2 linked regions of the Drosophila melanogaster genome follow. The protein of the gene in region 1 interacts with the protein of each later gene in a pairwise test. Each region holds a gene or a part of one and is shown on either strand. Other genes may lie near its edges. The genes, in order: fs(1)K10 and CtsK1.

Evidence for each region.
Region 2: the proteins of fs(1)K10 (region 1) and CtsK1 interact in a two-hybrid assay, tested with the Drosophila melanogaster proteins (one large-scale study listed by BioGRID).

Annotation. Positions count from the first base shown.
Region 1 is NC_004354.4:2,240,323-2,246,613, forward strand, and holds fs(1)K10 (female sterile (1) K10), read left to right. Parts: upstream 1-1,815; 5' UTR 1,816-1,986; coding exon 1,987-3,282; intron 3,283-4,134; coding exon 4,135-4,230; 3' UTR 4,231-5,719; downstream 5,720-6,291. Other genes in the region: kz (kurz), read right to left, coding at 1-1,184, 1,246-1,437, 1,506-1,580; Or2a (odorant receptor 2a), read left to right, coding at 5,909-6,291. UniProt on the Drosophila melanogaster protein: May be involved in localization of sqd to the oocyte during oogenesis.
Region 2 is NT_037436.4:13,992,328-13,997,277, reverse strand, and holds CtsK1 (cathepsin K1), read right to left. Parts: upstream 3,048-4,950; 5' UTR 2,927-3,047; coding exon 2,878-2,926; intron 2,488-2,877; coding exon 1,498-2,487; intron 1,419-1,497; coding exon 808-1,418; 3' UTR 707-807; downstream 1-706. Other genes in the region: CG17361 (uncharacterized protein), read right to left, coding at 1-72.

The sequences.
Region 1 (6,291 bases):
CCCGTCACAAAAATTAGTATGCCGCCTTCCGGAAGCTTATTATGGATTTTTAAGGTCTTGCGGTAAGCCTCCGCCACATAGTCATCAGGTGTGCGCTTCTGGAAGTGAATAGTCACCGGAAATTGTCGAGCCTCCACTTTAAGCAACGGTGGCGGAATCTTAAACAAGCGAGTATTCTCTGTAAAATCGGATACCCGCAAAGTGGCAGACATAATGATCAGCTTCAGCGGCTGCCCGCGTTTGTGACGCAAGGGCACGATCCTTGACAGGAGACCCACTAGGATGTCTGTGTAAACACTGCGCTCGTGCGCCTCGTCCAGGATGATCACTGAGTACTTACTAAGCAGAAAGTCAGTTTCGATCTCCTTAAGCAACACACCATCTGTCATGAATTTAATGCGCGTCGCTGGTGTTACGTTTCCCTCGAAGCGAATGAGGTATGACACCTCGCTCTCCGGCAGGTTCATCTCGTGGGCCACCCGCTTGGACATGGCAATAGCAGCCACTCGCCGCGGCTCCGTCACTCCAATCATCTTGTGCTGGGCATACCCCGCTTCGTACAGGAACTGCGGTAGCTGGGTAGTCTTTCCAGAGCCAGTCTCACCAGCCACGATCACAATGGGGTTTTCGTTGATTGTCTCCATCACCTGCTGCTCCTCCGCGAGGATAGGCAGTCGAAGACGGGCATTCTGAACTTCTGTTGTCCGATGTACGGGCACATAGACAGTCTGGTGGATACAGGCAGGTGGGTTAGGCTCTGGCTTCAACTTTTTAATGGGTGGTTTAACAGCGATTTGCGGTGGAGCTATAGACACTGGAGTGGGTATGGCAATAGGAGCGGATTGAGCTGGTGCCTCCTCATCGTCCTCATCAGAGGATGAAGAATCTTCGTCATCTTCCTCCACGCTAATTACATTCGGATTCTTTCGCTTGGCCTGTAGTTCCTCCTCCTCTTCGACGAGAAGCTTGCGCTTGGAGCCCTTTATAGCATTTACGCGGAGACCCGACGCCGAGCTTTTTTCAGCTAAAACTTGGGCCTGTCTTTCCTTTTTCTTGGCTAGATACTCGTCAAGGGTGGGTAGACGCTTTAATCCCACGGTTTGCACTTGGCTAATGGAAGTATACTGCTGCAGCTCCTCCTCCGGAATTTGAACGGCAGCAAGGTCACCCAACAGCTGAGCGCGCTAAATTAGAAAAGATTTCAATTAAATATCAGTTTTATATTAGCACTGAATAAAAACCTACACCCTCTTTCTTTTTCTTCTTGTCCACAATAGCCTGGAGGTGCTTGCGCTGCTTCTTGGAAAGGATCTTCACGTGTTGCACTTTGTCCACCTTAATCTTGGTGGCCCGCTTCTCGGAGGGCAGAACCAGAGCGTTGGCCTCATCGTAGCCAACCTGGTTGCCGCCGGCCACAGCATCCACATCGATCTGAATCTGTAGAGTATTGGATTTGGAAAGGGTAAGAAAGCGGATTCGAGTGTGTGGTCCGACGGATGACCTACCTTCTTCACGGCCGAGTTGTCCACAATTGTTTGTGGATTCTGCCGCGCCTTGGCATTGTGCACCTTCTTGCCCATGATTACTTTACTTTACCAATATAGTTAATAAAATAAAGTAACAGAATTAACTTTGGGCAATAATATAAACATTGATTTAAATCACACGTGCGAAGTACGCTTATCGATAACAGCGCAGGCGATAACAAAAGTTGAGATACTCTAAAATGTGCTGTGATGTTACATTTGTGTTAGTGGAAACATACATTAGTGGGAAAAACTGATTGTTATAGTTGTTCACACTCCTTCGACAGCACTGGTATCGAAACGTTATCGCAATCGATTCATCGTAATATTTTCAATATAAGTTTTTGTGACAAATAGGCGTGCAACATTTTAGATCCATCTGCTCCCCGCCTGTCGTTTCGGCTTGGCTCCTCTGCTCGAGTCCTGAACCCCCGTTTTCAGTGAAATCCAGCTACCTGCAATGGTGTCCAAGAACCAATTCTATCAGAACTGGACCATGCAGTCGCAGCAGCAGCACCCGCACCAAATGCAGCAACAGTTTCAGCAACAGCAGCAGCCAAATCTGCAGCACCGCAACAACCAGAGCAACAATAATAATTGCAACAATAATCCCCGCGCAGCTGCGGCTCCGTATAGAAAACCGTTTCGTTCGGGCAAAATTAACTCCGGACCAGGAGGAAATGGGAATGGTAACAGGGTCAACGGTAACAATCAGATGATGTTTTCCTCCAGCCAAATGCCGAGCGATCCCCTGTACATTGACTTCAGCAGCCCGCCACCAGGATTCAAACACAATCAGGTAGGCAGTCCCAAGAAGAAGTCTATGAAGGGCATCAAACAGCAGCAGCATCCCAGTCCGAACCAGCAGCAGCCTCCCAGTCCGAACCAGCAGCAGCATCCCAGTCCGAACCAGCAGCAGCATCCCAGTCCGAACCAGCAGCAGCATCCCAATTCGAACCAGCAGCAGCATCTCAGTCCGAACCAGCAGCAGGGCAAGATGAACAACCAGAACAACAATCATATGAACCAGTCGCAGCAGCCCTTCAACAATCAGATGAACGGAAGCGATTGGCAGCGCCATCCGGGCAACAATCCCAATCAGATTCGCGGTGGCTTTAATGGATTCCAACGCGGGCCGCCTCCGAACCGTCCTCCTCCACGCCTCATGATGGGTCCGCCAATGGGTCCGATGGGCCCCGGACCACGGGGACCCGGACCGATGGGCCCTGGAGGACCTTACCCGCAAATGCCTTTCCCGCCACCGGTGCCTGGTATGCGCGGTCCCGGACCCATGGGCCCCATGGGTGGACCACCACCGCCGCCGCCACCGCTCTTTATGCGTCGCAACGGACCCGGTCCAGGTCCTATGATGGGTGTCCCACCGCCCATGCACATGATGGGTCCACGGATGCCGCCGCGGGGAATTCCACCGGTCGGACCTTATGGACCAATGAACATGAATGGCGGCCGGATAATGAAGCCCAATCCCAAGCTAATCAAGCAGGTGGTGAAAGGCAAGAGCAGCATAAAGACACTAAAGAACCTGATCAATCAGTATCCCATCGAAAAGCCCTGGGTAACGGACGAGATACGCAGCGAGCACGACAAGAAGGTGGACATCGAGAACAGATTGAAGGGCCACAAAGACGACGAGCTCTTCGCTCAGTACAAGGGCCAGCGGGACAAGTTCGTTAGTCTCTACGAAGCGGCGCGGGAAGAGTATCTCAAGCAGGAGGCAGCCACTGTCAAGGCCAAGGTGAGCATATAGAGACCCCCCAACATATCCTTATTCCCTTGGAACAGGTGTCCCATCCGAAGCTCTATTCAGGGAGGCACACCGATTCCGGGTACAGTTTCGGCTTAATCCGGAATCACTTTGCACCCCTGATTTGATCCGTAACCCCCACCCGTCCCTCTTTGTTGCGTTTGCCGGGCGGTAGGAAAAAAATAAGAGAGCAGAGAAAGTGAAAAAGTAAGTCTCAACCTGATGCACTCTCTCGCATTATCCTGCAGTCCTGCGGAAGGTTGTTGTCATATCTATTTTCACCTTCGGTTGTTCCCTTGGCACTGATATATATCCGCAAAAGAGAAACTATTGGCATATATTTACAACCATAGATTTATTAGGAACTGAACAAAATTGTGTAACTATTTAGAACTGCAATACAATGTGTTTACTGCCACCTTGTATACAAATTTAAAAAACTAATAGAATTTTGTACTGTTCGATCGTGGCAGGCGTAGTAGATTCATAAATGCACTCTTAGTAACTTAATATTCTTAATTGAACGAGCCTCAGTACTGAATCCTATGGCTGTTTTCATTTTCCAATTTGGTTGGCATGTGAAAAGCGAACTTAATGAATTTTAAACTGCCAGAACATCAATTTAGTTACTTAATTAGCAGATATAACCCAACTTATGAAACTCATTGCATATGAAATGATAATGATTTGAGTGATTAATGTTCGTGGGCGTAGTTATCTGGAAATAGCCAAGAGAAGTTCGCAGAATGCATTTAATAGCGAAAACAGATCTGAGAGCTCTTTTTACACACTCAACAACCTTGCTATTGAACACCGTTGGCAATTCTCGTATTTCTTTTGCAGGATGCCAAGTCAGACAAAGACAAAAACGCAATTTCAAGTCAGAGCGCAGCCCCTAAGGCCGGAAGCGCTAAAGATGCAACAATTCCAAATCCCTAGGCAGCCAATGCAACCGAATCCGAATACCGAATCAATCGAATCGAACCGACTAAAGAAGAGGTCGGTCGACTCACAGAACTAAATGTAAACTTAAACTTTAAACCAATGAGCAATTCAAAACTAAAACTAACAGCGAGCAACAGCAAGAGTCTGACAATTGAAGACGAATATAACTCAAAACCCCGACTCCTATATCGGATATACGTATACACAATCGTAATCCGAGGAGGCGCCGCCTTTGTCACACGTTGCTTTTGCGACTGAGAACTGAGCTTAGAACGATAATGTAGCAACAAATACAAACCCAGCGATAATAATGTGGGCGAAACTCTAGTAATAGCGATAAAAATTTAGATTGCGAATCGATTCACTTGTCTAACGTAACCTAGCGTAACGTAAAGTAGAGTATTGAAATGTAACCGTAACGTAACGTAACGTACCAGTTTCCTATTCGAAAACTATTTGTTGTTCAATTCTAAGTTGCAGCCATTTCAAGTATGTGTACACAATTTATGACACGCCCTTACCTATATATGTATGCATATATATTGATATATATATATATATAAATTATTTTCCTATTCGTTGCCCGAGTGCGTGGGCGCGACATAATTGAAACAGAGTGGCCGGATCCTAAGCACTCTGGCATAAATCACACTGTAGGCCTTAGATTACACCACTTGATTGTATTTTTAAATTAATTCTTAAAAACTACAAATTAAGATCACTCTGTGAACGTGTGCTCGATGGTGTGCATCTACGGATTTGTTTTTGTGTTCTTTTTCCCCACCCAACCCCGTCCCTGACCCAATTCCGCTGTTCTCTTTACCGACTTGTAGATTAATCACGCTCTTGATCTTCATGACCGGATCCACCTGACAAGTAACGCCAAAGCAGCCCCACTTAGCGGAATAGTAGAGCCTAGGGGACCCAACGTAAAAACTCTAGTATAGCACCAATCTCCCAACCAGTTAACATTATACCTAAACCCATGGTCAAGAGTAAACATTTCTGCCTTTGAAGTTGAGAACACAATTAAGCATCCCCTGGTTAAACCTGACATTCATACTTGTTAATAGCGCCATAAACATAGCACCAATTTCGAAGAAATCAGTTAAAAGCAATTAGCAATTAGCAATTAGCAATAACTCTGCTGACTTCAAAACGAGAAGAGTTACAAGTATTTGTAAGGCACAGTTTATAGACCACCGACGGCTCGTTAGGGCTCGTCATGTAACTAAGCGCGGTGAAACCCAATTGAACATATAGTGGAATTATTATTATCAATGGGGAATATTTAACCCTCAGGTAGCAAAGTAATTTAATTGCAAATAGAGAGTCCTAAGACTAAATAATATATTTAAAAATCTGGCCCTTTGACCTTGCTTGTCAGGTGCATTTGGGTTCAATCGTAAGTTGCTTCTATATAAACACTTTCCCCATCCCCGCAATAATGAAGAATACCGCAGAATAAAGAGAGATTTGCAACAAAAAATAAAGGCATTGCGAAAACTTTTTATGGGGGATCATTACACTCGGGCCTACGGTTACAATTCCCAGCCACTTAAGCGACAAGTTTGGCCAACAATCCATCTAATAGCTAATAGCGCAATCACTGGTAATCGCAAGAGTATATAGGCAATAGAACCCATGGATTTGCCCAAAGGTAACCGAGACAATGGAGAAGCAAGAGGATTTCAAACTGAACACCCACAGTGCTGTGTACTACCACTGGCGCGTTTGGGAGCTCACTGGCCTGATGCGTCCTCCGGGCGTTTCAAGCCTGCTTTACGTGGTATACTCCATTACGGTCAACTTGGTGGTCACCGTGCTGTTTCCCTTGAGCTTGCTGGCCAGGCTGCTGTTCACCACCAACATGGCCGGATTGTGCGAGAACCTGACCATAACTATTACCGATATTGTGGCCAATTTGAAGTTTGCGAATGTGTACATGGTGAGGAAGCAGCTCCATGAGATTCGCTCTCTCCTAAGGCTCATGGACGCTAGAGCCCGGCTGGTGGGCGATCCCGAGGAGATTTCTGCCTTGAGGAAGGAAGTGAA
Region 2 (4,950 bases), on another chromosome or scaffold:
GGCTTCGTTGCTTCCTTCGATTCCAAGCAAATACAATTCAAAAAGAATAACTAAACTGTATCGGATGACCATCAAGCCAAAACAGAAAAATACCAATTGGCGCAATTCCAGGGATGCAACATCTATGCCAATAAATATGTATTTAAATTTAGACTTATTTGTTGTTATATCAAATTAACTTATAAATATATTATTTAAAATGAACAATTAATCTAAAATGAAATGTAGTAGCAGTGAAAATTGTAGAATCAGTTGAAAGTATTCTTCATGTTATATTTTTAATTTATTTTAATTGAAAAACTGTAAAACGGGTTTAATGTAAAAATTCAATGCTTTGCTTGCAAGTTTTTTAAATAAGAAGGTATACTTATTTTTAGAATCATTATTCAAAGTAAAGATTCTTAAAACTAATTATATGTTTAATTTAATATTGATGAAATTAAATGATTAAAATTTTTAAAAATGTAGCGAGTTTTTACTGTAGAAATGATTTCCACTACAAATGGCAAAGACCCCGATTCGCATAAAACTGTTGCAACTTGCGCAAAGTTCAACTGGTAACTGGTCATTGTCTTCTAGGCTTATCGGCTTATCGGCATGGAATTAACTTAAGAAACACCATGGACTGCGGAGATAATGACCCAAGCTAAACTTAGCTCCATTTCCAGCCAAGCGGAGCAGTGATAAGATTCAAAAGACTTGGATTACAAAAGAGTTTATGAAATGTATTGCATATTTAGCGCCCTGTGGGCGTAAAAATAAAAAGAGTACACAAAATAAGAAATATGTAGGCGGGAGCGGGACAATCTACATCTCCACATAAGTGGGCATGGTCATAACACCGCAATTGTTCTTCTTGGCCGACATCAGGATGTAGCCATCGTTGCCCCAGTAGGTGGACCACGAGTTCTTCACCAGCCAGTAGTCCTCTCCATTGATCGAGCCATAGCCCACGGCCAAGACAGCATGATCCAGTCCATCTACATCGTTCTTGCACGTTGGCTCATAGTAAACTCCGTGCGAGTAGAAGCTAAATGTCTTGGGAGAAGCATCAATGGCCACCGACAGAGGACCGTGCTTGAGCAGAGCCAGCTTGAAGGCATTTGGATCGTTGGAGGTCACATTGACGAATCCCTTAATAGGTGCCACCAGCGTCACGTTGTTGACGTGACAGTAGCCATCCTGGCCCAGATAGGGACCGTACTCCTCCTCCGTGGGCACTCCGCCGGACTGCAGCATCCACTGGTACACGCGGAAATCCTCGCCACCATCGCAGCCATTGTTGCCATAGGCCCACGAGCAGTCAATCAACGCCTGCTGGGAAAGCCGGACCAGATTGCCGCCATTCTTCAGGAAGAAGGCGCCCTCCAGGTGACCAATGGTGCCAAATGACCAGCACGATCCGCACACAGATTGATCTAAGGGTAGTTTACGTTTTAAGCAATTCAATATTATCAAATTCATCTAAGTAAGTACTTAGGGAATGAATGAACCCACCTTTCACCGGAGTGACAGCGCCGTATAGCCGCCAGTCGTACTGGTCGGGAATCTCGTCCTTGTACTTGGGCACATCATAGGGGAACGGTTTGCCGGTGTTGTAAATGCCCGATGATTTGTATCCTCGTCGTGCCTTCAACTCCTCTTCGGTCTTGTCGGCCAAGTGATTAACGGCCAGCGTGTAGGTGAGTTTGGCCCTGTTCTTTGAGTGGATGTAGCGCAGGTTCTGACGGAAGATGTTCTTGCGATGCTCGTGTTCCGTGTCGCTGTGATAAGCAACTCCGTGCTTGCGCTTGAAATGGTGGAAGGCCTTGTCCACATGCTCATCGGTTCCGGATATAAACTCCTGCATGGGATTGAAGGTGGCATAGTGACCGGTGCCGGGTCCGGGGAATCCGACGCACTGCAGGCTGTCATCGATCTCGAACACCTCGTTGGGAATATCATCGTGCTCGTAGCTGTCATAGTCCAAGTAGTAATGATCGTAGTGCGATCCCAGCAGGGTGTTATAGCCCCTCATCTCGTAGCGCACGGGAATGGGCATTCGGCTGGAGGGATAATGCGGCGACTTCTTGTACCGCACCCACAGCGTATAGATGTTCTTCTTTTGGCCAATTGTCGACTCCAGGCGGAACTTGTCGCACGTGTAGCCCAAAAAGGATTCGGTGCCCACCAGGCTGAAAGGTTTCGCATCGGGCAGGATGCTCTGAATATCGACAGCCTGGTCGGCGGTGCCATTCACCTGCAGACAGGTTAGCTTGTTGTTCTCCGTCTTGGTGGTAATCGGTGCCAGCTTCAGCAGGGTTCCGTACTGACCCTCGCCAGCCAGTTGGTATGTCTTCACCATTCCGCCGTAGTAATCGATGCGGGATCGCCTCGTATTCTTGTCATACCAGGCGTAGAAGGGTTCCGCAATCTCGGCGTACGGAATGTACAGGGTTCCTTTGACTATGTAGTTTGGATCCCATTTCGGCGGATTCGTGGCATTAGCTATTGTCGTTGGCGAAAGTGTGGAGAGATTCAGATGAGAAATGAGCGGGAACTTGACAATAAGAAACGGTAAAGGGCAGCCATCGAGGTTTAAGCTCACGCCATTGCTTATATACTTCGTATATATACAGCTGCGGTCAAAATAGCAGTACATGCCCTTTTACGTTTATTTGATCTAATTTAAAAGTTTAATAAAAACATGTTCTTTTTACTTTTTAAATATACTTCATGGCAAAAAAAATGATGATAAGCTAAAGTTTCAATCCTAAAACGATGACCTCGATTGTTTTAATATATGCATGTGTGCATTAGTTTAAAGCGCACACAAACGCAGAAACAATTACTCTTTGTTTGGCTAAACACTTTAGCATTCTAACGTCTATAACTCACCTGAGAAAGCCAAGCCTGCGAGCAGGGCTAAAGCTAAAAACACTTGCATTCTTGAGAATTCACCAGAGAATTGTCTGGAATATTAATTGATCCCGACTCTAGTATACTACCTATCTTTTCGAAGAATTAAACTGTTCTGCCGGCTCAATAGTCCGATTGCTTTAACAACAACTTTCTATGGGTGAGGAGATAACGCCGCCGTGAAAAACATCGGTATTAATCGGTTGAAGAGCTTTCTAGTTTGTAATAAGAGCTTATCAAAGTTCTTTGCTTTTTGTCATGGTAGTATTTTATTCTACAAATTATTCGCAATTCTATGTAATCCGTTAACATTTTCTTTTATTTAAGAATTTCTTTATTAGAAGAAATATCTTTTCTGTTCACTTACTGAAGAATTGCTTCTTTATTTTAATAAAATATCATGTGCTTCGATTTTGTAACTTAAGAGGTTTAGTTTGATTTTGCAATATTATTTTAAATATCGATAGCAATTACAATTTTTATTGCGTGCACAGGGTGCACATGATTATACAGATATTTTATACATCTAGTGTGACCAAAGTGCTGAGATTAAATGTTTTTTTTTTTAATTTAAAATATTGGATGCACTTCTTTCTGGCTAAGCTTTCAATAAAAAATAATCGAAAAAACCGCGAATGATCTAATATTCAAGATTAAAATAGAAAAATTTGTCAGAAAAAAATAAAACCGTGTCTAGGGATCAAAATCGGGATTGGAAAAATTCTATTTTTAAATTCGTTAAACAGCTGACAGTCAGGAGGTATAGATAGTCACTCATCTGTCTCATCACAACGACTCTCTCTCGGCTCTCTCTTCCCTTCTCTCTGTGTCTCAGCGATATAAAGTCTCACCCTCTCTTCGGAACTTGAACCTACTCCAAGTTTTGCTGCATTGCGCCCGCTCTCAAACCGAACCGATAGTCGGACAGCACGGGATCCCGAAAGGACCCCGAGCAGATGTCAAGCTACCACCGAAGGAGCAGCATCGTCGTCGTTGTCGTCCTCGCCCACACATCGTTCTTTACCGTTACAGCTGTGGGTTCGGCTCAGTACCGTTAAGTTCGCCAATCGCACAAGTTCGATTCCCAAATCGCATGGTTTTTTTATACCAGCAAGAACTAGACAACACACAGATATCTGGTAATGTTGTAAGACGTGGATTAATGCAAACTGCAAACCGTACAAGTGCGCCGTACAAGAAAACGCAATTAAAAGTGCATTAAAAATTAAACGAAAAGTGCTTGTGTGTGCGTGCCAGTGAGGCAAAAAGTTTTGCCTGCGCCGAATTGGCCAAAGTTAAATGTTTTAAACGCCAAGTTAGGCGAATTATGTGAAAGTTTTAACGCGATAGGCGAAAACAAAATGTTTCTGTAATTGGCGGCGGAGGAAAAGCAGTCCGAAAAAGGTAGCAACGTTGCTGAAAATGAAATCAAACTTTGATTTATCGCTGATTGGTTCCTGATTGGCTGTTTTGGCAGGCCTTTTGAATCCCCACACAAAAACAAGAACTCCCAGACGAACATACATATACATGATCCATCCACATACATAGGTACTACAATACAATACATATGTATGTACATAGCTGTTGGCGTTTATATGTATGTGTTTTTGGTTCAAATCTGTATAGTATTATGGGCATAGAGGAGCATTTCCTGCCCTTGTCACAGTTGTTACATTTTCTCTATTCCGCCGCTCACCAGCTCACACAGTCGGTCATCAAAAAGTCAACAAAAACAATATAAATTATGTTCGTGGAAAAGCACAAGCAGCAGGATGCTAGAAGACCTTGAATGCCTCTTAAGGTGTAATTGGATATTGACGTGGAACGAAAATTGCATTTTGAGCAAGGAATAAGAGCTTCTTTGTAAAAGGATTGTTTGTAATATGAAGCATATTTGTTTTGGCCTTTTAGTGGAATGAATGTGATTCAATATAAAAATACTTTTGACTTCGTTTTCTCTCAATTTTTAACAAGAAATAGTTAACCATTTAGTGTAGATAATCAAAATCCTATGTGCGAAACTAGAGAATCATTTATTTCTCCCTAAAA